Alligator mississippiensis: one gene and its partner. The protein of the gene in region 1 interacts with the protein of each later gene in a biochemical or structural test. Links are inferred from orthologs where the notes say so. Each region holds a gene or a part of one and is shown on either strand. Other genes may lie near its edges.

Region 1 (10,227 bases):
GAAATTGAAAACCAGGTAGAAATTGATGAGCCGGAAGAAAAACGGGGCAAGAGGAGCTGGGAAAGTGTTGTGGGGTTGAGGGAGGGGGTCACAAACTGCTGTAAAACAAAGCATTGATTCCCATTGCTTTTGCAGTTAGAGATTACAATGATGGATATATTCAAAACCTATATGGCAGATGAGATTGTGACAGTGCCCTTAGACATTCTTGCTAGCATTTTGGACCAGTGATTTCCACAACTGTACGTTATGCAGCCATAATCTCATCACAGAGTTGAGGGTATCATAAATGCCAAGAACAGAGTTCACGTTGCCAGACAGACCAGTCCTCTGCTTGAAGTAAAAATGTAGCCTTCCTCAAGATGCTTTATTTTTTTTCCTTAAGAAAACAATTCCATGTTTTGTCAGGGTACTTGGTCCTCCAAAGTAGCAGTTTTTACAATGTAAGTACTTGTATCATTCTGCTAAGGAACATTATGGTGCTCCTGGCACTTCAGACAAGCTGGGTAAGAACAGAGCTTTTAGTCCGAGGGATCCCTTCAATTCCATCCCTTGGACTAAAAGAAGAGATGTTAGATGCCTTTTTTTTTCCTCCTGCAGATCATCACCAAGTTGTTGAGATAGGTAGCACCCAGTGCCCTTATGTCCTTTGTTAAAGCAGAAGCTGAAAGCACAGTGATGGTATAGGAGTTGAGAACAGAGCAGGTGGACAGCAGCATGTTTGATAGTGGTTTTGGTTTTTTCTATGTATATACTGTGTATATCATAGACTGGCTTGGGGTAGGTGTCTTTTTACAGTAAATATTCCTGATTCAAGCAATAACATACTAGGTATATTCCCATCAGCCCCAGGAGAGTGACACCAAGGCAAGCTATAACTTTCAAATAACATAGACTATTTCTGACCTCCCTCTCCAGATTCAAGTGACAAGAAGTCAAGCCTGCGGCACCTACAGCTCTAAACTCTCAACTATGAAAATAGCACTGACCTATTTTTAATTTCCCTGGCTTTTAATGTTGTAGTTCTCCTTGCCCAATTATGACAATGTTTGGATTGTAATCACTTTTTGAAATGTTGTGTCTTGGGCCAATCGGCCAGATCGGTCCCAAATTCTATCGACTGTGCACAGCTCAATCATTCAAGTCTGTGTGGTGCTACTACCAGCAAGTATCCTACCTCCAGAACTCCTCAGTCTGGGGCTTCAGATACTCCCAAATCCATGGCAGGCATCCTATGTGCTAAGCCCAGAGGCCTTGGAGTTCTGATGACCCCTATTCTTGCTTGCCCCTAGCCAAAAGGCTGAAGGAGAAAGCTAGAGGGAAAGTCTGAGAGCAATCACGGGTTGTAATCTTGTTTCTGCAGAGGGGTAGAAAGGTATGTGTACACAAGGGAAAGGGGAGTTATTTGCTTCTAACAGTGGTGGCTACTTCACAATTAGTCTTGGTACCAAACAGCTATTATTTGGAGGGAGAGAGTAAATGCAGACATACATCATGCATATTGTTTCATTTTCCCATGTGTCTCCTCATAATGCTGTCATCTTTTGGCATGATTTATGAACTTAAACTCTACCCCATCTTAACAGTTACCAGCACTTATATATTTATAAATTCTCTTTATGAATTAGAGCTAGGAGAGAGCTGCATTCTTAGAAGTTCAGTGCAACTCTTCCATGTTTCCAGCTCCAGTCCTTTGTTCAGCCCATTTCAGAAACAGAGTTAAGGTTTCTTACCACTACTGTGTTGTGACAGTCAGCAGATCTTTTGCACATGTGGTTTCTGAACAGTCACTGTGTGGTTAGTTTGGCAATATACCTTCCCCTGTGAGGTAAACATCTTGCAACCTTCCTCTTTTCATTCTATAATTTCTTTGCTAGAAATACAAATGTATTTTGCAAAATGTACAACAAAAATCCCATTTGCAAAGTACTAGGAAAGAAGTTTTATGATTTCAAATAATTGTAGTTGTTGGAGACAGGCTTGGAAATTAAATCCTCCTGCTTCTTCCCAGGGTTCTTAAAACATGGGCAACAGAAATTGAGTTAATTCAGCATATGGAGGCTTGGGGAGGAAGATATGTTTAACTTATCTGAGCCAGCAAATTACATGCCTGGCCCTGCACATTAAATCAATCAAGATATCTTGCCTACTACAATATATGTACAGAGCATGCTTGATTCATTATATATACTAGTGTTTTTTCAGCTAGGATGCCACAGCAACTTGGGGTGCCTAAAGATCTTTTCAAGGATATTGCAGGGTGCCATGCAATGTTAGCGATATTTGGTTTATAAATATGATTCACACAATAAATCCAGGGATTTCACATAGAAATTCATAGTTGTGGTTTTTCTGAGTTCTTTGCAACAGAAAACTGCTGTATTATTTTTCTGTAGTCAAAAAAAAAGAAGTGAAAACTAAGAGCTGGCATCTTCCAAGGGGTGCCTCAAGTCTAAAAAGATTGAAAATCTCTGATATATGAGTACTGACTGATCCAGAGCACAGTCATAGACTTCCACAGATCCAGTGGAACTGCTTGGTAACTGCATAGAACACTTTTCCAGAACACTGCATCTCTAGAGCCAGACCTGTCAGCAAGTAAATGTAAATCAAAATTAATCTTGCAAAGTGTAACTTTTTTTTCTCTGAGTTGGCACTTCATTTTGGATGAAGGTGGAAGAGTATTTCTATTTTCTCTACAAAGCAATACTCCAATAGAATAAGAAGTAAGCCTATAATGTCTCCTGACAGTTCATAGTATGGAAGATTAGATTATGTTCACTATATTAGGCAGGAAATCTTGTATATATGATATGACTGCATTTCAAAATGTACAGCATGCACTTTGCGAGACCTGGATATGGACATGGGTGGGAGGAGATTGCTTTTTGGCAATCATCCCGGTGCAGGTGTCTTAGAAGCCAAGTAATTGGACAGGAAATGTTATAAAATTCTGGATGCTCATCTGAAGGGAAGTTTTCCTGGAGAATTCCACAATCATGGATGGTGACTATCTGGAGAAAAGGGTGCTTTTGGGTGCCAGCTAATGGAAGAGGTAATGACTTGGAATGCAAATAAAGACAAGTGCAAATTAATTGTTTCAAATGGGGCATACATACTGTGTCCAGCATGTACAAGGTGACTGGAATTGGTTGGAGGGATTGAATAGAAATGTTATGATCTTTTGAAACAGGGCCTCAGGGAAACAATTTGATCATACCCACTTTCTTAGGTATGCCTCCTCCATCCTGGGAATTATTTTCTGGTCCAAACCAAGAAAAGCCTCTGTACAGTAGTACAACAATCAGAAATCTTACCGGCTTTCATCATAGGGTGCTATCAATCAGCCAAGCAAAGAAAACAACCATTTCAAATTTAAATAGCTTCTTTTAGCTCACACATAGAAACATTTAGTTTTAGAGACCAGTTAAGAAGAGAGGAGACATTTTTCCAGGAGGGAAGAGAGCACAATTACAGCAATGATGGTTTCTAGTTGAGTTCTGATACTTCCCCACTGAAGTCAATGAAGAGATTTTGTTTCATGTAATGGAAAGAGAATCAAGTTCTCAGATTCCTAAATAAACAATTACCTAAGAAAAATAATGACATAACCTGATTCCTAGGAAGTGCAGTTCAGCACATGAAAATATAAGATTGGTAGAAGACTTTGAGGGATGCTGTTAGTAGCATTATCCAGTCCCTAAAGCACTACCTTTTGTCATCCTTTAATTTCTTACTGTTTGATAATAGTAACAACACACCTCTGCTGACTACATGGCTACCATTGTGAATAACTTTGTCTGCCTTCTCCAGTTCTCTAAAATCTGCTACTTTCCAACTCTGCAAAAACTTTGTTTTAATCTTGATTAACTACTTCTCTCTCTCTAATCTCTATTTGCTCAGTCAAGATGGAGGCAGTCTATTTGAGAAGAAGCTGTCCTGCATCTGTAACCTTTCTCCTTCTTGAAACATCACTGCCATTGGTTATGCAGATGTGCCTGGTTCTTTCTTGTCATGATTCCACTCCAACCTCCTTGGCAATTCTTTATCTCTGGAAGTAACCATTTTTCCACATCAAGATATGTCCTGTATGGAGCACTTCCCCTCTTCTCTCCCTTCCTCCCCCCCAAAATTTTATTTCTCAGCACTCTTAGAATTACTATTTACATTCTTTTCATTCATCTCTATCTTTTACAATACCAGTAATATACCCCTGATACTAAGCGGTGCATATCTGTCACTGCCTTTCAGGACTTCTCTCGCACCACCCTTCATGTCTTGACCGTGTAAACTTGCAGCTTGGTTTACAAATTCCTCCAAAGCAATCTTTCTGGGATGGAAGTTGGGCAAGAGATGCTTGCTCAAATGTATCTTCTTCATCTCTCTTAATTCCTTTTTCAGTTGAAGACTTTCTTCTTTGTCTTTTCTGTTGGTACCTTTGACATTGCCTCCAGCTCTGGACTCTTTTCGTTGTCTGTTCCTACAAATCTGCCGACTTAACATTTGAGTTACTTACTAAGTGAAAGGGACCTCTTTATTTTTGCATCTGTTATGTCACGTCACACGTGCCAGACACTTACACATTATACTAACCCGAAAAATTAAATCTTAAGTACCTAGGCTTCTGTAGTACCCTCTTCAGGAATGCTTCACCATCCTTTCTTGGTTCTCATCTTAGTTACCATATCACGTTTCCTCTCCTCTCTCCCATATCCCAGCCCTCCAAGCACAGGCAAGTCAAGATGGTTGTTGCTTGTGTTTTGTGCATGGACGCAGGAGATGCTGACTGCTTCGTTTCACTTTCATCCATCTACATGCCTGGTGTCTTGTGTTTGCTGCCTTTGCCGTTTTCAAACATTGTTGCTTCGGAAAAGAAAGTTGCAAAGCCAAGAAAACATGCCCTTTCCTGCTTGTTCATTGTGCAGAAAGATGGCTCTTGTGAGACATATCAGGTGCTGCTTTCCCTCCCTTTTTTTGGATGCATGATTTGGCAAGCTCCACACAGGACTGGGAATGGACCCAGTGCTGCAAAATGCACGGGAGGCTGCAAATGTGGACAAATTGGAGAGAGGCCAATGGAGGGCAACAAAAATGGTGAGTGGCTTGGGGGACATGAGTTATGAGGAAAGACTGAGGGAACTGGATTTATTTAAGTCTAGAGAAGAGAAGACAGAGAGGACTTAATAACAGCCTTCAACTACCTGAAGCGGGGTTCAATGTTTTCAGTGGTGGCAGGTGACAGACCAAGGAGCAATGGTCTCAAGTTGCAGCAAAGGAAATTTAGGTTAGATATTGGGAAGAATTTTATCATTAGGAAGGAAGTAAAACCCCCATTAACCAGAGAGGTTGTAGATTCTCTCCATCCTTGGAGGTTTTCAAGACCCAGCTAGACAAAGCCTTGGCTGGGATGATCTAGTTGGGGCTGGTCCTGCTTGGAGCAGGGGGTTGGACTAGATGCCCCCAGAGGTCCCTGCTAACCCTCATTTTCTATGACTATGAAACCTCCCAGCTGAGATGGACAGAGCTGGTGAATTAGATGCTGCCTAACCAAGGCTTGTGGACAGAGGTGATATCTTTTATTAGACCAACAAGATTTTTGCAAAAAAAATTCTTTAATTGCAAGCTTTCGGGCACAAACACCCTTCATCAGGCATGGGAGGAAAGAGTGTAAAAGTTCTCCTGGGTAGAAATGAAAGTTCGTATTTCATAGGACTCGGGGTACTTGCAAGGCGCTGGGCGTGGGGCTGCCCAAGGCGAAGCGCCAGGGCAGGAGCCTGCACCCCGTCCTGGCCCCTGGGGCTGGGGGAGGAGCCCCCGCGCAGCGCAGGGAACTGTGGCAGACTAGGGCCCGCGCGGGGCATTGTGGGGCAGGGCGCACTTGCTGCCTCTTCCCCCCCGCCCGGAACTGCCCCTGCTAGGTTCTCCGCTCCCCATTGGCTGCTCTGCCTGTTAATCTGCGAGGGGAAAGGGGCGGGGCCAGGCCAAACCGGGGTTGGGCGGGTTACAAAAAGCGAGTGCCTCGCCCTGCCTGGCCTGATTGGCTGCGGAAGGGGACAGCGGGCGCTCTCATTGGCTGTCGCGGGAGCAATGGGCGGGGCGTGTTCCTCGGGCCGCGGCGGCTCCACCCGGCTTGAAACCTCGCAGTGCCGGTGTGTGCGAGGCAGGCAGGCGGACGCCGAGAACGAGTCCCTTCCTGGCCAGAAGCAGCCGCCGCCGCCGCGGCTTTCCCCTGCCGATCGCCGGACTCAGGTGACCCCCGGGCGGCGCGGCGCGGCGCGGGCGGGCCCCGGAAACACGCGAATCCTTTTATTGATTTTTATGGTTGGCGCCAGCAGTGCCGGGCTGCGGTTGAGGCGGGCGGGAGCCCATTGATTTCCCCCAGGGCCATGCTGGTGCTGCCTGGTGCCCTCTGCCCTCCTCTGTGTGCAGGGCCCAGAGCAGGCTTCCTTGGGGGTGCATCCCTAGGCGCTGTGATCCCTCCTTGTGATCTCCTTTTTTTTTCCACTTGAAGTGCATCCAGGGGCTGCTCCTCCTTGTGTCCTCCATAGCCAAGCAGGCTGCAGCTGGACTGGGCTCCCAGGACCAGGGGAGGAGGGAGAGGGCAGCTGCCCATGTGATGGAGCCCCCTTGCTTTGAAGGCGTCCAGCTATTGGTGCAAAGGAGCTGCTGGTCCCTTCCCCCTGCCCCATCCTTGCCTGTTGCCCCTCTTCTTGGAAGTAATTGGGGGGGGGGTTAAGGGAGAGAGGGGGTGAAAAAAAGGCCCGTTTGGCAGCTGTCAGGGTTCCAGCCTGAGTCACAGGCCAACAATTCTGCAGCAGACATTGCTATGGGCTTGGCTTCCGCCCTCAGATCTTGACTTCCTCATTCGGTTTGTTCTGTACAGTCGAGCCAGGAAAGAGGTAGAGCGAGCCGGGAGGAGGGAAGGGAGTGACGGGGCAAGATGAAGCTTGCAGTACAAAATCTGGCAGATCCCTGGGCTTTCATCCACCTCTGCTGCTCCAGCAGATGCAAGAGGAGTCTAGCTTCTCACAGCCTTGTTACCAGCCTGTCCTCCGGGAGGAGAAAAAAGTTGGGGAACTTCCCAGCCCCAGTGGGTGGTGGATTTGTACCCAGCATGTCGTTAATGGGGGGTTCTCCTCATCTGCCTGGACACGTCTTGAATGAGAGTGTAAGAGGGATGTTGTAGCCGTGATGGTCCAGTATTTAGGCAAGAGGTGAAGGTTTCATTGGGTGATTTTTATTTTATTTTATTTTATTTTATTTTTTAATTGGACCAACTTATGTAGCTGAGATAGAGATATTCAAGCTTTTGAATGCAAGACATTTTTCATCAGGTCATTTGTTAGATGGGAGTTAGATGAGTCACCTGTTAGCCAAGAGTTAGATAAGCTTTTGAATGCAAGACACTTTTCCTTGGGTCACCCGAGGAAGAAAGTCTTGCGTTTGAAAGCTTGTCTATAACTGTATCCCAGCGACATTAGTTAGTCCAGTAAAAGATACCACGCTTAAAGCAGTGCCACATTCTGTATAACGCACTGCAGTTTTGATATGTTGGTCCAGAGGCAGCTGTCCCGGTGGCTGCTGAGCTCTGCTTTTCTTGGTATGTCTTCCCTTGCCGAATGAACTTTGTGCTTTATCTGCACGGCTTTCCTTCTCCTCGAGCTTTTCTTCCCCTTGTCCTAACTTCCTGAGCTGTGCCTCATCAGAGGTAGTGGGGGGCAGAGCCTAGGCTCTTTCCAGAGCAGCCCTGTACCCGAACAGCTTGTTGAAGTCATTGCATGCAGTAACGCATGATTTGTGCTGGAAAGCTGAACCTCTTATCACTGAAAAGGGCCAAGCCCACAGGTCATGATGCCCCTGCCCTTCTGTGGCAAAACATACAGGCTCATTTGCTTAAAGGTGTGGGGCTTAGTGAGCTGTAATTGTTAACTTGAAACATGCCTCGTGAGCACTATTTGTCTCTTTAAATACATTTTCTCCTAAGTATAGGTAGTGACAAAGGGAACAGCAAGGTAAACAGTTGCTGGCTCTATAAAGATGCTTTCTGACTTAGTCACAAGCTACCTGGTGACTAAGTTCACTTATCTGGATCGTGCTAGTGAAAGCTGTAACCCTTGGTGCAGACCTGTATTGACTTACCCTCCCTGTCTGGAGCAGTAGCACTTGAATCTAGTATATGGATAACATGAGATAAATGCTTCTGCCAAGTGGGGTGCTTAAAGGCACCTTTGGGTGGAGGAGAAGGAGCTAATGAGTACAGGTGAATGGGGCTCTTTTAGTATTTAAGAGCTTTGAATTTCAGGATAACTGAGAGCCCTAGTAGGCATAGGGTACTGTCTGTTGTTCTGCCACATGAAACTGTCTATAAATTGTTTTGGAGGTGGCAGTACAATTTGCTTGTCATTCTATCAAGTTCCTCATCTCCTGAAGCTGTCTGTAATTGTATGTCTGTCCCTGATGCCTGCTTGAAGTCATCCATCAAGTAATGCTGTGCATAGTCGAAGGTTGGCACTACACACAGAAAACTTTCTTCTGTCGTAGGATGGACTTGGTTAAAACTTTCAGTACTTCTGTGAAGGCAGGTGTAGATTAGCAAATCTCTACTGAGTAGAGATGCCAAATTAACATCTATGAAATGTCTGTACCCTTCAGACTGGGCATGGCCAGTACAAAGTTCTGTTTTTTGTGTAGCATATTATCTTCCTTGATATCTTGCGAGGAGATGATGATATTGAAGTTTTCTAGAGAAGAGGAGTCATGCTTAAATTTGCCTGGCCACACAACACACACCTATTCATTATAAATAGGATGACTGATGATTTTTTTCTCTTGCTTCAGAGGATCTGACTGCTGCTTATTACAGCAGTGTTGTATAGCTTGTCAGTAGGAGTAATCTTTTGCTCACTTCCTGTCTCGAGTCAATCCTCTAAAAAAGCCTAGATCCTTTCCAGTTTAACACTTTTATTCCTTAGGACAAGAGGGAGGAACAGTCAGAAATTGCACTGATTGCCTATCCTCAAATGAGTGGAAGAGAATGCAGTGTTGTACCTAAACTTAAATTATAAAGCAGCATTATTTAACTAATGAAAAGGCCAAGAAATTATTTGTCCACAGTGTTGTTTTGGGGAGGGCTCCATATTTCAGACAGTAGAGTCATCTATGTGCCATCTTAAGAGTTAGTTTGGCTGGTGTTATTTATTTAAAAAAAAAAAAAAAAAAAGCCAGTGGCTGACTGTTTAGTGCTCAAACTCTGAGACAGGTGGCAGCTCTAGTATTTGTCTGGGGTTGAAAGTGTGTCTAATGTGCTCAGCGTAGTCGGAAGCTGCAGGTGTTCAAATCTGTTCAGAGCAGTCAGGCGTAGTGGATAATGCAAATACTTGGCATCTGACTGCTGGGGCCTACTATGAACGCTGCAACGAGCAGCCTAAATGCATGAAGCACTCACCTTATTGGTTTGGCTGGAAACACTTCACGCTAGCAGCTCACGGGCTAGTTCTCTTCTGAGCTGTACCCACAAAGCACATCTACGTTTTGTGGTTGGAAAAAAATTGAGATTTGAAGCTGCCATAGGGTCTACAGTAGACTGAAATGTAAGCTAGAGGAGGTGTCTGCTTCATGACTGGAAGTACCAAAAATAGCTAGAAGAGAAAGAAGTGAGGGTACTTTCTCTTGATCCTTCTGCATCTAATCTGTGCGCTTCTGACTCCAACAAATTATGTTGGACTTTTGGGTACTGGGAGCCTAGTTAATCCCTTCCCCCTCTTCATCTTGTTCAGGGTTATGTCACCGAGGAATCTCTGCCCTTAACAGGGTGAGATCAGACAATGGACCCGTTGGAGGTACAGGCACTCTTATGGTTAATCTAGGATTTATTAGAATGAAGAAGTAACATTTATGCAAGGCAGCTTCAGGTTATCAGAAAACAGACAAGCTCACGAACAGTTTAAGTTAATTTCAAGGGCTTCAACCTCCTCAAAAGTGGCTCGCTTATTGTGACTGACCGTAGGACTGCACATGTTATTCGTTGTATGTGCAGTTCTTAATCAGAAAAGATGCTACATGACATCTGAGGACTATCTCTGGCTTCTAGGAACAAGATATTTAGGCTCTGTTTACTTGATATTTGTTTCTGGTGTAAAAATGTATGTACAGACTGTTGCAGTGCATGCTAAGTTTTAGGGAAATTTTTCATGCCTCATGTGCCATCTTGGTAACTTCTTGTGGTTT
Region 2 (10,574 bases), on another chromosome or scaffold:
TTCTAATTGTTCCATAAATGGCTCTATGGAGAGGTGGTAAACCGCCTATCATAAAAGGTGCTGTAACAAAGAGCATGAAGTAAAATATACTCCTTTGCACAGAACTAAAATGAGGCGGCATGAGTGTGAGTGTACACATCCATAATTCATATCAGCATGAAAAACCAATGGCGCTATCTTGATGACGTTTCAGCTTCTGGCAATTCAAAGTGCTGTGGTTAATTCCAAATAAAACACAAAAACCACCTCCATTATTACTTCTAAAAGGATTGGTGTCACTTTTCTTTGTGCTAGTAAAGAGTAAGCTTTGTGATTCAACTACCAATTGCCCATCAAGTCGGCAAGATATATGTATGTGTGTGTGTGTGTGTGTGTGTGTGTGTATCTATATGTATATAAGTGTGTGTGTGTATGTGTATATCTCTGTGTGTGTGTGTGTGTGTGTAAATAATGTATGTATGTATGTATGTACGTATGTATGTATGGGGTGGGGGGAGATGAGCGGTGCAGGGTCAGTCTCAAGATCCTGCATGGGATTGGGCCATGGGGCTGATCCCATGCTGCCCCAATCTGGCCATGTGCTGCCCGCCTCCCCATTCTGGCCAGCAGGGCTCCCCATGGGTCCAGAAATTTGGCAGCAGGAGAGTTAACACTCCTACCACTTTCCAGTGCCAAATTTCCTGATCCTTAGGAAGCCCTGCTGCCCAAAAGATACAGCTTCATGGGCTGGATCTGGCCTAAGGGTTGAGTACCCTTCTTAGGTTCTTCTCCTGCCTTTATCATCATTGTGGTTAAATATTTTCAGTAATGCATCAAGTGACATGGCTAATTATTGTTACATGCTGGCTGTTTTTCCTGTTCTCCCCAGAAGGAAAAGTGTGTTTAGTGGGGTAGTTTTGTTATGCTTTTTGTTTTAACATGCATGCTATCTCTGTACATAAGAGAAGGCAAGCTCAGAGAAGCAGAAGTTGGGGAAGTTTTGTGCATGATGGTCATTTCCAAGAAATATGACCCAGGCCCTGGTTCATAGATTCATAGATGTTAGGGTCGGAAGGGACCTCAATAGATCATCGCGTCCGACCACCTGCATAGGCAGGAAAGAGTGCTGGGTCTAGATGACCCCAGCTAGATGCCTATCTAACCTCCTCTTGAAGACCCCCAGGGTAGGGGAGAGCACCACCTCCCTTGGGAGCCCGTTCCAGACCCTGGCCACTCGAACTGTGAAGAAGTTCTTCCTAATGTCCAATCTAAATCTGCTCTCTGCTAGCTTGTGGCCATTATTTCTTGTAACCCCTGGGGGCGCCTTGGTGAATAAATCCTCACCAATTCCCTTCTGTGCCCCCATGATGAACTTATAGGCAGCCACAAGGTCGCCTCTCAACCTTCTCTTGCGGAGGCTGAAGAGGTCCAGGTGCCCTAGTCTCTCCTCATAGGGCTTGGCCTGCAAGCCCTTAACCATACGAGTGGCCCTTCTCTGGACCCTCTCCAGGTTATCCACATCCCTTTTGAAGTGCAGCGCCCAAAATTGCATGCAGTATTCCAACTGCGGTCTGACCAGCGTCCAGTAGAGGGGAAGTATTACCTCCTTGGATCTGTTCGTCATGCATCTGCTGATGCACGATAAAGTGCCATTAGCTTTTCTGATGGCTTCATCACACTGCCAACTCATGTTCATCTTGGAGTCCACTAGGACTCCAAGATCCCTTTCCGCTTCCGTGCCACCCAGCAGGTCATTCCCTAGGCTGTAGGTGTGCTGGACATTTTTCCTCCCTAGGTGCAGCACTTTGCATTTCTCTTTGTTGAACTGCATTCTGTTGTTTTCTGCCCATATGTCCAACCTGTACAGATCTGCTTGTAGTTGTTCTCTGCCCTCCAGCGTGTCCACTTCTCCCCACAGTTTTGTGTCATCCACAAACTTGGACAGAGTACACTTCACTCCCTCGTCCAAGTCGCTGATGAAGATATTGAAGAGTATCGGTCCAAGGACCGAGCCCTGCGGGACCCCACTGCCCACACCCTTCCAGGTCAATACCGACCCATCCATTATGACTCTCTGGGTGCGACCCTCTAGCCAATTTGCCACCCACTGGACTGTGTAGTCATCCAAGTCACAGCCTCTTAACTTGTTCACCAGTATGGTGTGGGATACCGTATCAAAGGCCTTCCTGAAGTCTAAGTATACGACATCAACCCCTACTCCTGCATCCAGGTGTTTGGTAACCTGGTCATAAAAAGAGGCTAGATTAGTCAGACATGATCTACCTGCTACGAACCCGTGCTGGTTTCCCCTCAGCATAATTTGTCCTGCCGGGCTCTCGCAAATGTGAGCCTTGATAATTTTTTCAAAGACTTTGCCTAGGATGGAGGGGAGACTGACTGGCCTATAGTTGCCTGGGTCCTCCTTCCTCCCCTTCTTGAAAATGGGGAACACATTGGCCCTTTTCCAGTCCTCCAGGACCTGGCCTGTGTGCCATGAGTGTTCAAATATTCCCGTCAGTGGCTGTGCAATGACGTCAGCCAGTGCCTTCAGTACCCTCAGATGGAGCTCATGGTTCTTATTCTCCAATTATTTTTCATTCTGACCATGCTTGGCTGATTTAATAAACATCTATATGTAGAATGGCAGACTTTATTACAGTTCTCATCTGCTTAGCACAGATAACAGCAGGCCTCTAGTGACTACTGTTGCAAGAATAAACTGCTTCTGTCTACGACTGGCAATTGTCTTCAAGACAAGTATGAATGCCTCAGCCCCTTGGCTGGACTCAATCAAACATACATCCCCACCATGTTCCAACGGTTATATAGAATATGTAAAGTAATAGAAGAGGGGACATGCGTGAAGGAAACTTATGTTCTGGTTTCAAGATGACTTCAAGTGACATTTGTGTTTAGTATGACACTCTCTCTTCTTGCTTTAGGATCTTTTATGTGGGACAGAGAAGAGGCTGTTGCTTGCACACAGCTGGCTGTAGACCTTAGGAAGTGCCGATGACTCTTACGAAACCTGTTATGTTTGGTGGTTTGCAGTGTGTCATGTATGTTTTCTTATGTTTTACTGTACTAATATAGCATGTGTGGTCTCCTGCTCAGCAGTCTTTCCTGCCCAGAGCAGGGGGGCTGGACCTGATGATCTCACAAGGTCCCTTCCAGCCCTAAATTTCTGTGAATCTGTGAAAGCCCATGTTAAGCTATATTCATTTGTCATTTCTTTCCCTATATAAAATATGTTATGCTATCTACGTATATCTTTTCATTTGGACTCAGTATGAGGCATCCATACTTCAAGACAATTGCCAGTCCCAGACACAAGCAGAAGGAAATATTATTGGGTTGGGCACCCCAAGACGTTGTCTGATTGCAATGGGGAATCAACTCTGCAACAGAGAGGCAACTGAGGAAAACAGCCCTTTAGCCACAGTGGCTCCAAGTACCTTAGGTAGACCAGAAATTTTTAGAGAATCCTGACCCACAAGCAGGTTTTTTTGGTTTGTTGTTGAGTTGGGGGGGTTTTGGCAGGCGACGTGGGGAGTGGCTGATTGGAAATAATGTAGGAAGCTTGCTGTGGGCTATGCTTTGTCTTTTGGGTCCCAGGAGTTGGATGTTCAATAACGCCAGCAGGCAGGGCTGGCAGCATCAACAGGAAGGCTGAATTCTGGAGATACTGCCAGGTTGAGGAGAGCTGAGGTGTAGCTAGATGAGAGAGTAAGAAACTTTACTTGTTTTGGTTTTGTGTGGTCGGTTTTGCTGGAATAATTCTTTAATAACATTTTTTCAATTCTTTTCATTTAAAAACAATCTGACAAGTTTTATAAATGATGCTGTATGTTGAGGCCAAAGCTCAGGCACAAAGAGTTGTACCTTGCCCTGAAGACATCAAAACCTAATTGCATCTGATAGAGAGTCTGTAGCCGGAGAACTCACCCAAGAGCGCCTCCAAGAGCCTCCCCCTGGCCTCCATCGGTTTCAGTGCTCGTCTTGAATGCTGTAGCCATCTTGTACCCTCAAAGAAACCTCTGTATGGCTACACTACAGACAGCTGAGTTCACTTTAAATGAACTACCTCAGGTACTGGAAGTAGCCATGGCAGTACACAGCTCCCAGCAAGCTTTGCTAATTTACCCTGCTTCTGCTTTCCTTTGGGCTCCTCAACTATGCAGCAAGGCTGTTTTCAGTACTCACCTGAGCTGCAATATCCCTATACTTTGGGCCTTGTTACATGGTAAATGTAGGCAGCTTCTGGAGTTCTTAACCCCTGGACTGGCTGCACGTTAACATCATTTAAATGTCTTAAGGCACTCATTATTCAGCTTAGAGTTACACCATTCCAGGACAGGATTATTTCCAATCCACCAAGCTGTTTTCCTGTTCCATTACCATATAGCCACTTCCCGTAGCTATTCCACCCAAATTGAAGTCCTTCAGTATCCCAGAATACTCTGAGTGCTGCAGGGCCTGATCCTTTTTTCCCCCAGAGTGCCCAGCAGCTGAAGTGCCTCTCACTGCTGCCCAGACCGGCTCGGAGCAAGCGAGCTCCGGGGTTGCAGCCCTGGAACACTCTGGTCTTGCTGAAACGGACACAGCGTCTCTGCACTGAGAACAGAGCTGTCTGGACTTAAGTCCTGCTAGCCCTGATCTCAGTGTGGAGCCACCACGTCCATTTCAGCAAGACCAGAGAGCATCAGGGAAATTGCTTCTCTGTCTCACTAAAACTGAGATAGTGGTGGGCCCAGTCTCTGCCAGGCTGGGTCCTGCTCCTGCTCACCAAGCCTCTAGTGAGAAGTCACAGCTGTGCAGTGTAGTGGGCAAACTGAGTTATGTAAAGACTTTTAGCCATAATCCAGGCCTTCCCAGAACTAAGCAACAAACTTGAACAGAGTGCCTTTAAGCACTGGGAAAAGTGAGTGCTGGGCACTAGGTGAGCAAAGGACAGCAGTTTCCCCAGAAGGAATACAGTTGACACAGTGCCAGGGGATCGGTGCACCACGTAAGGAATGCATGGCACAGAGCCAGAGCATTGGGCAATTTGGGAATGGAGAAGTTATAGAAGTGATGGACAAACAAAGGAACACACGTGTGTGTGCTGTGTTGCCGCGTTGGGGAGACAGGAACAACCTTGGACTTCTTGTTTGAACAATGAGGAATCCAGAAACTAACATCCCACACACCCAGCAAGGGATCAGGATCTGAGGCCGGTACCACCAAAGGTCGCTGCTATAATGCCTGAAGGAACTGCTTGCCAGGTCATCTTGCATGGAAGAATACTTGTAATAAGCCTAGGGGTTAGTATTAAAAGTTCACTTGGTACCAAATCAGACATGGGGCTTTGCCAATCTTTGGGGGTCTCTGGTAAAAGGAATCCTAGGGGCAACATGCAGGTGAAGGGCAGTCAGAGCAGGTTTTTTGACTTGCTGTGCGATTGCTCTACTAAGCTGATTAACATTTGTTCGGCTTACAGTGCAAGGTCTAACAAGGCCCATGATGCAGTCAGTAGATATTCTTGAGAAAAAGTCACTAGAGCCAAACTCACTGAACAGTTTTTAAGCTGTGGACCAGCAGCCACAAATTAAAGCCAAGCTTGATCCAGAGTTTGGTTTAACACAAACACTAATGCTGCAGGGTTGAACCTCTTCTGGAGCTATTCTAGGGTCAACAATAAGATATTTCATTACATTCAAAGATGAATCTGAGCATTGATCAAGTGCCCAAATGTCCACCCAGTGCTCCATCCAACTGGAGAACAAATTTATCCATCGCACGGGATGTGAGAGTTTATATTAGCCGGTGTAAGCTGCCATGCAGGGCCTTGCACTCAACAGAGCTCTGATCTGGAAAAGATACCAATTCCCAGTCATGGAAATGAGGAGAGTATTAATTTGCTCCTGTTTTTGCCCTGGTGAATCAATGTGCACTCTTTTTAAATTGGGCTGTTAACCATTTACAGAGTGGATTGAAGCTTCTTACTCACACTGTGTATCTTAAAGGAGGGACTGGTTTCTGGCAATGCACAATCACTGTGCTACCTCTACCATATGATAAAGCTTGGACTTTAAATAGAATGTCATTACAAAGGAATTTGATTTCAGCCTACATGCAGATGGTAAAAAAAGGTACTTTAGATATGGATATTTGCTAACTGATAACTGGCTCTCACTACCATATGCAACAAGGAAATATGAGAGTGTTATAAAGGAGCCCTGAACCTGATCAGGTTCTATTTTCTAAAAGAGAATCAGAGACTATTCACACCTAGCAGGAAAATAAAAGTGAGCAAAGATGTCCAAACTGGAAACTGCAATGGGAATGATCATTGCTGTCTTTGACAGGTATGCAGCAACTGAAGGCAATAAGCTAACCCTTACTAAAGCAGAACTGAAGACTCTCCTGGAAAAAGAGCTCCCTAACTTCTTGGAGGTAAGATGATATTTTAGTATAATTTCTGTATGACAAACTGAAAGCTTTTCCTGTGTAAAGAGAAACACTCCCAGTGCTTTGTGTTCTGGGCTATGTCCTGAAATCATTGGTGTTGTAGGAAAACAAGTAGGTACCTTTTAGATCATCATGTGGACAAGGTGGCTTTTAAAAGGAAGACCCATCACAGCACTGAACTACAATATCATTCCCATTTATCAGTACTATCATCTATTTTTCTAGTGATCAGAGCAGTGGCAGTGATATAGAATACTTCAGAAGTCATCTGCTCCTGCTGTTTACTCCGCAGCAGAATTTGTAATCTCAATATGATGCTACTGTTAACTGCTGTGAAGGGATTCTGCTGTTAGCAATCGAGGATGAAGCAAACAAATGGGGAATCTTTCCATAAAGCGATTTATACCAGACTTATAACTGTGGTATCTGAGCATGTACACAAAAAAATTATATAAAGAACAGCAGCAGTAGATGAACTTAGAAAATTCTGTTTAGCAAATGATTTTAATACAGTAATAATTAAAAGAAACTAAATAACTAAAGAATGTTTCATAGAATATGAGCATTGTATTATCAGGAGGTGCTTTTCAATGGTTATACTTTATAGTTGTCTCTGCCTCTGTACAAATCCACAAATTCTGCTCTTACATACCTTGCTGCTGTATTAAAGAGTCTGCATTTCTGTAGATGCAGAATCTTTCCCATAACTGCAAATGTCTGGAGTAGATCCAAGGGGACGCTTTTGGCTCTGTGGTGCATATACAGTGAGCTCTCTGAATTCAGTGGCACATCAGCGTAGCTCTTGCTGGAACTCTACATCTAGCATAAGCTCTGAGTTCATCCACTGATTTGTCAGCTCTGGCTGGAACTCCTGCTGTTATGCAGCTCCAGAGCCCAGGGGGTGTGTGTCACTTTTGTTGCTCCCTTCTTTTCCCCTGTTGCTGAATTCAAATAGGGGCTAGAAGGGGCTGGGAACCAATCAGAAGGGAGGGCAGTCATGGCAGCATCAATCCATTGGACTCCAGAACCATGCAAGAGCAGGGGATTCAGCCAGAGCCCATGCCAATCTGCTGGTGAGCTCAAAGAGCTCGCAGCACGTGCCACACAGCCAAAGGACATGTGGCCACATACCCCTCACCGTGATCCTGGATCCACCCAAGTAGATATCTAGGATTAAATGTTAGTAAGTGGCTTCTGTTGTCCACCCTTGTGACATTGAATGTACAAAACCTGTCCATAAGTAATCATCTAATTAGAGCACCAAGACCTGTGCATTTGATGTATTCTAAACAGGCAGTAGCAGAGCTCTGCAGCTGCCCCATGACAGCAGGCTGCCCCCCACTCCACAGCAGTCACTGCCAGCTCTCACTGCACTGCATTGGGTGCATGGAGCAGGGCACTGCTGGAGCTCAGGGGTTATGGGAGGCTGGCCCAGTCTGGGGCTCTCTGGGGCTGGCTATGCTCTCTGTTCCCCAAGGCTTGGTGGGGCAGCAGGGCAGGGTGCCCACCCAGATGGGCTCAGTGCTAGTGGAGAAAGGAGCCCTTGGTCACTGTTGCTGGACCAGGGGGCTGAAGACTGGGGGAAATAGAATAGCTGGGGGTGTGAGAGCTCACAGACAGAAGCGGGGGGCACCACTGCATCCTGGGATACTGGAGAACTTCAACTTGATCGATGCATCTGTGAGCAGTGGCCACAGCTTAATGGAACAGGAGCTGGGTTGCCAGAATCAGAGATAATCTTGCCCTGAAGTGGCATAACTTTGAACCGCATAACAAATACTTTAAGCCACTTTCAGGTGTTGATAACCTAGGGGTTAAGAGCTCCATGAGTTGCCCAAAGTTACCATCTAACAAGGCCCTAAGAAGTGACTAATCATTACATTCAGGACTGAAGTTAAAATAACTTCCAAAGCAAGAAGAAAAGTCCTTTCCTGTAAGCCAATGAGATTAACTCCACATGTTCACATGCAGAACTGGGTAAAATACAAGGGGCGGGGAAAGCATTTGCAAATACTCATTTGACAGACACATATTATCACTAGAAAATAAGTTATAATTAAAATCCCATTATTTGGGGTTTCTTAATATTTATGAGTACATTTTTGTTTACAAGAATGTTCTCAGAAATAGGGTGCTCTAAATATTCATGCAAATATACATTTTCACCAATATTCACACCTGTGCTGGCTGACCGCCATCTTGAAAGGTCTTTGTGAATCAATCAATTGCAGAGCAGAAAAAAAGCAGCATAGGATATAAGTAACAAAAGTACATTATTAAGAGAGCACACTGAAATTAACACCAACATCAACGTCCATAAGTAATCCAGAAACTGGTTCATAAGCAATTCATGGAATAATTTCAGATTTCCAAATTCATAAAAATGGAAACATTTCTTTGCAAATAATTTGCAAACTTTGAAGGGATCAATATTCATCAGACATTGTTAAATGGGGTCTAGCCATATACCTACATGCTTGATGATTTTGGCATGTCTTGGCTTATACTTTAATCCTTCTAGTTTTTTAAATGGAAGATTGTATAAAATAAAATAATTGCAATTTAACTAATTAAAGCATGATGTCACAAGCACCTCTGATTTCCATTATGCTGGTACATATTTTCAGTTCACAGTAAAACTCCAAGATACTTACATAACTTCATAAAACTATAAAATCAGACTTTTGTTAGGCTACAAAAAAAATTTTCAGTTAATTATATTTTATGCTCTACTGCCATCCTCTGTTTATTTTGAAAACTGCAATAAGAGCATTAGAGTTAGTTAAAACCTAGAATCAAGAAAGGCCTCTATAAGCTTTTTTTTTTTTTTAATTTGCAGCTGAACATTTTATCAGTGTCAATTTTTCTGGATTCTCTTGTGCTTAATTTTAGGCTGCAGATGAAAATTGCAAGTAATTTGTGGTTCATCAATTTGCTTTATGAAAGGTTGGGGGGAAAGGGGCATTGCTAATGAACTGTTTTTCATCCCATAATTCAGTTAGCTTTACAGTTAGCTGTCATGTGCAACCACAGCTTCTGTACACCAACCAACCTATTCACGGCACCAGGTTTAGCTGGAATGCCTGAGAGAGCAATCCCAGCATGTTCACAGGGGGAGGCTGTAGACAGCTCATTCTCAGTAAATGTACCTCACTTTGTTCCTACAGTTAGTCCAAGAGAGCTTGTCTATAGAACTACCAGCCTGTGTATTATATTATGGACCTTTCTGGGAGGGACAGATTGCATTTCCCCAACTGAATTAAATTCCTTTAGCATTTTGCAAATTTGATCATTACACATTTTTTTTAAAGTAAATAGTGTTTATGCATCTTCAGGCATACAGCATGCATTTAGACTAAACAAATACATTTAAAGGAAAGATTTGGCTCAAAAACCTTTGCAATACAGAAAAAAAATTACCTTAGCGGAAGCCAGTGGGAATTTTGCTGCAGACTTCAATATGTTGGAAAATGTGGTTTTCTAATACTATTCTTTCTTCAAAAAGATACACCACTCTCCTGATGAAGTTAGTCTTGCGCTAGCATATACATTGCTCAAGTAACAAAGCTTAGCAGAACATGCTGTAAGCTAGGGCTGCACGAAGCTTCGGTCACCGATTCGATTCGGTGGAGATTCGGCCCAATTTGGTGGCTGAATCTCCAATTTCAAATCAAATAAGGAGACCCTTTAATCTTTCTGAATTGAATCAGAACCCTCCAAATTGATTTAGAGTAAAAAAGATTCGATAATTTGGACATAGACGCAGCTTTAAATGTTTTTTTCTACATACCTCAAAGTACGAGGTGGCTCATGAATACCAAGATGGTGGGGCAGATTGAGTGTCCCACAGGAGCACTGGAGGGGAGAGTCTCAGTGTGCTCGGCAGCAGACCCAGAAGTGGACCAGAAGCACTTCCAGTCCACTCCCAGGTCTGCCAGAGAGCATGCGGGGGCCCCTCCCCCACGTCTCCCCAGCTCAGTGTCTGGTGCCTCCTGGGACTGGGGGGGCACCTGGGGTCCCCCCCATAGCCAATTGCTGAGCCAGAAAGGTACGGGGGGGATCCCCACCACATGCTTAGCAGTGGACCTGCAAGTGGACCAGAAGTACTTCTGATCCACTTCTGGCTTCACTGCCAAGCACACGGG

The links. The genes of interacting proteins can lie anywhere in the genome.
Region 2: the proteins of MYH9 (region 1) and S100P interact in a biophysical measurement, tested with the Homo sapiens proteins (2 studies listed by IntAct). The link is inferred for Alligator mississippiensis from reciprocal best matches to the Homo sapiens genes MYH9 and S100P.

The regions. Positions count from the first base shown.
Region 1 is NC_081827.1:100,990,499-101,000,725, forward strand, and holds the start of MYH9 (myosin-9), read left to right. Parts: upstream 1-6,138; 5' UTR 6,139-6,249; intron 6,250-10,227. UniProt on the Homo sapiens protein: Cellular myosin that appears to play a role in cytokinesis, cell shape, and specialized functions such as secretion and capping. Required for cortical actin clearance prior to oocyte exocytosis. Promotes cell motility in conjunction with S100A4.
Region 2 is NC_081825.1:26,258,132-26,268,705, reverse strand, and holds the start of S100P (protein S100-P), read left to right. Parts: upstream 1-6,172; 5' UTR 6,173-6,276; coding exon 6,277-6,414; intron 6,415-10,574.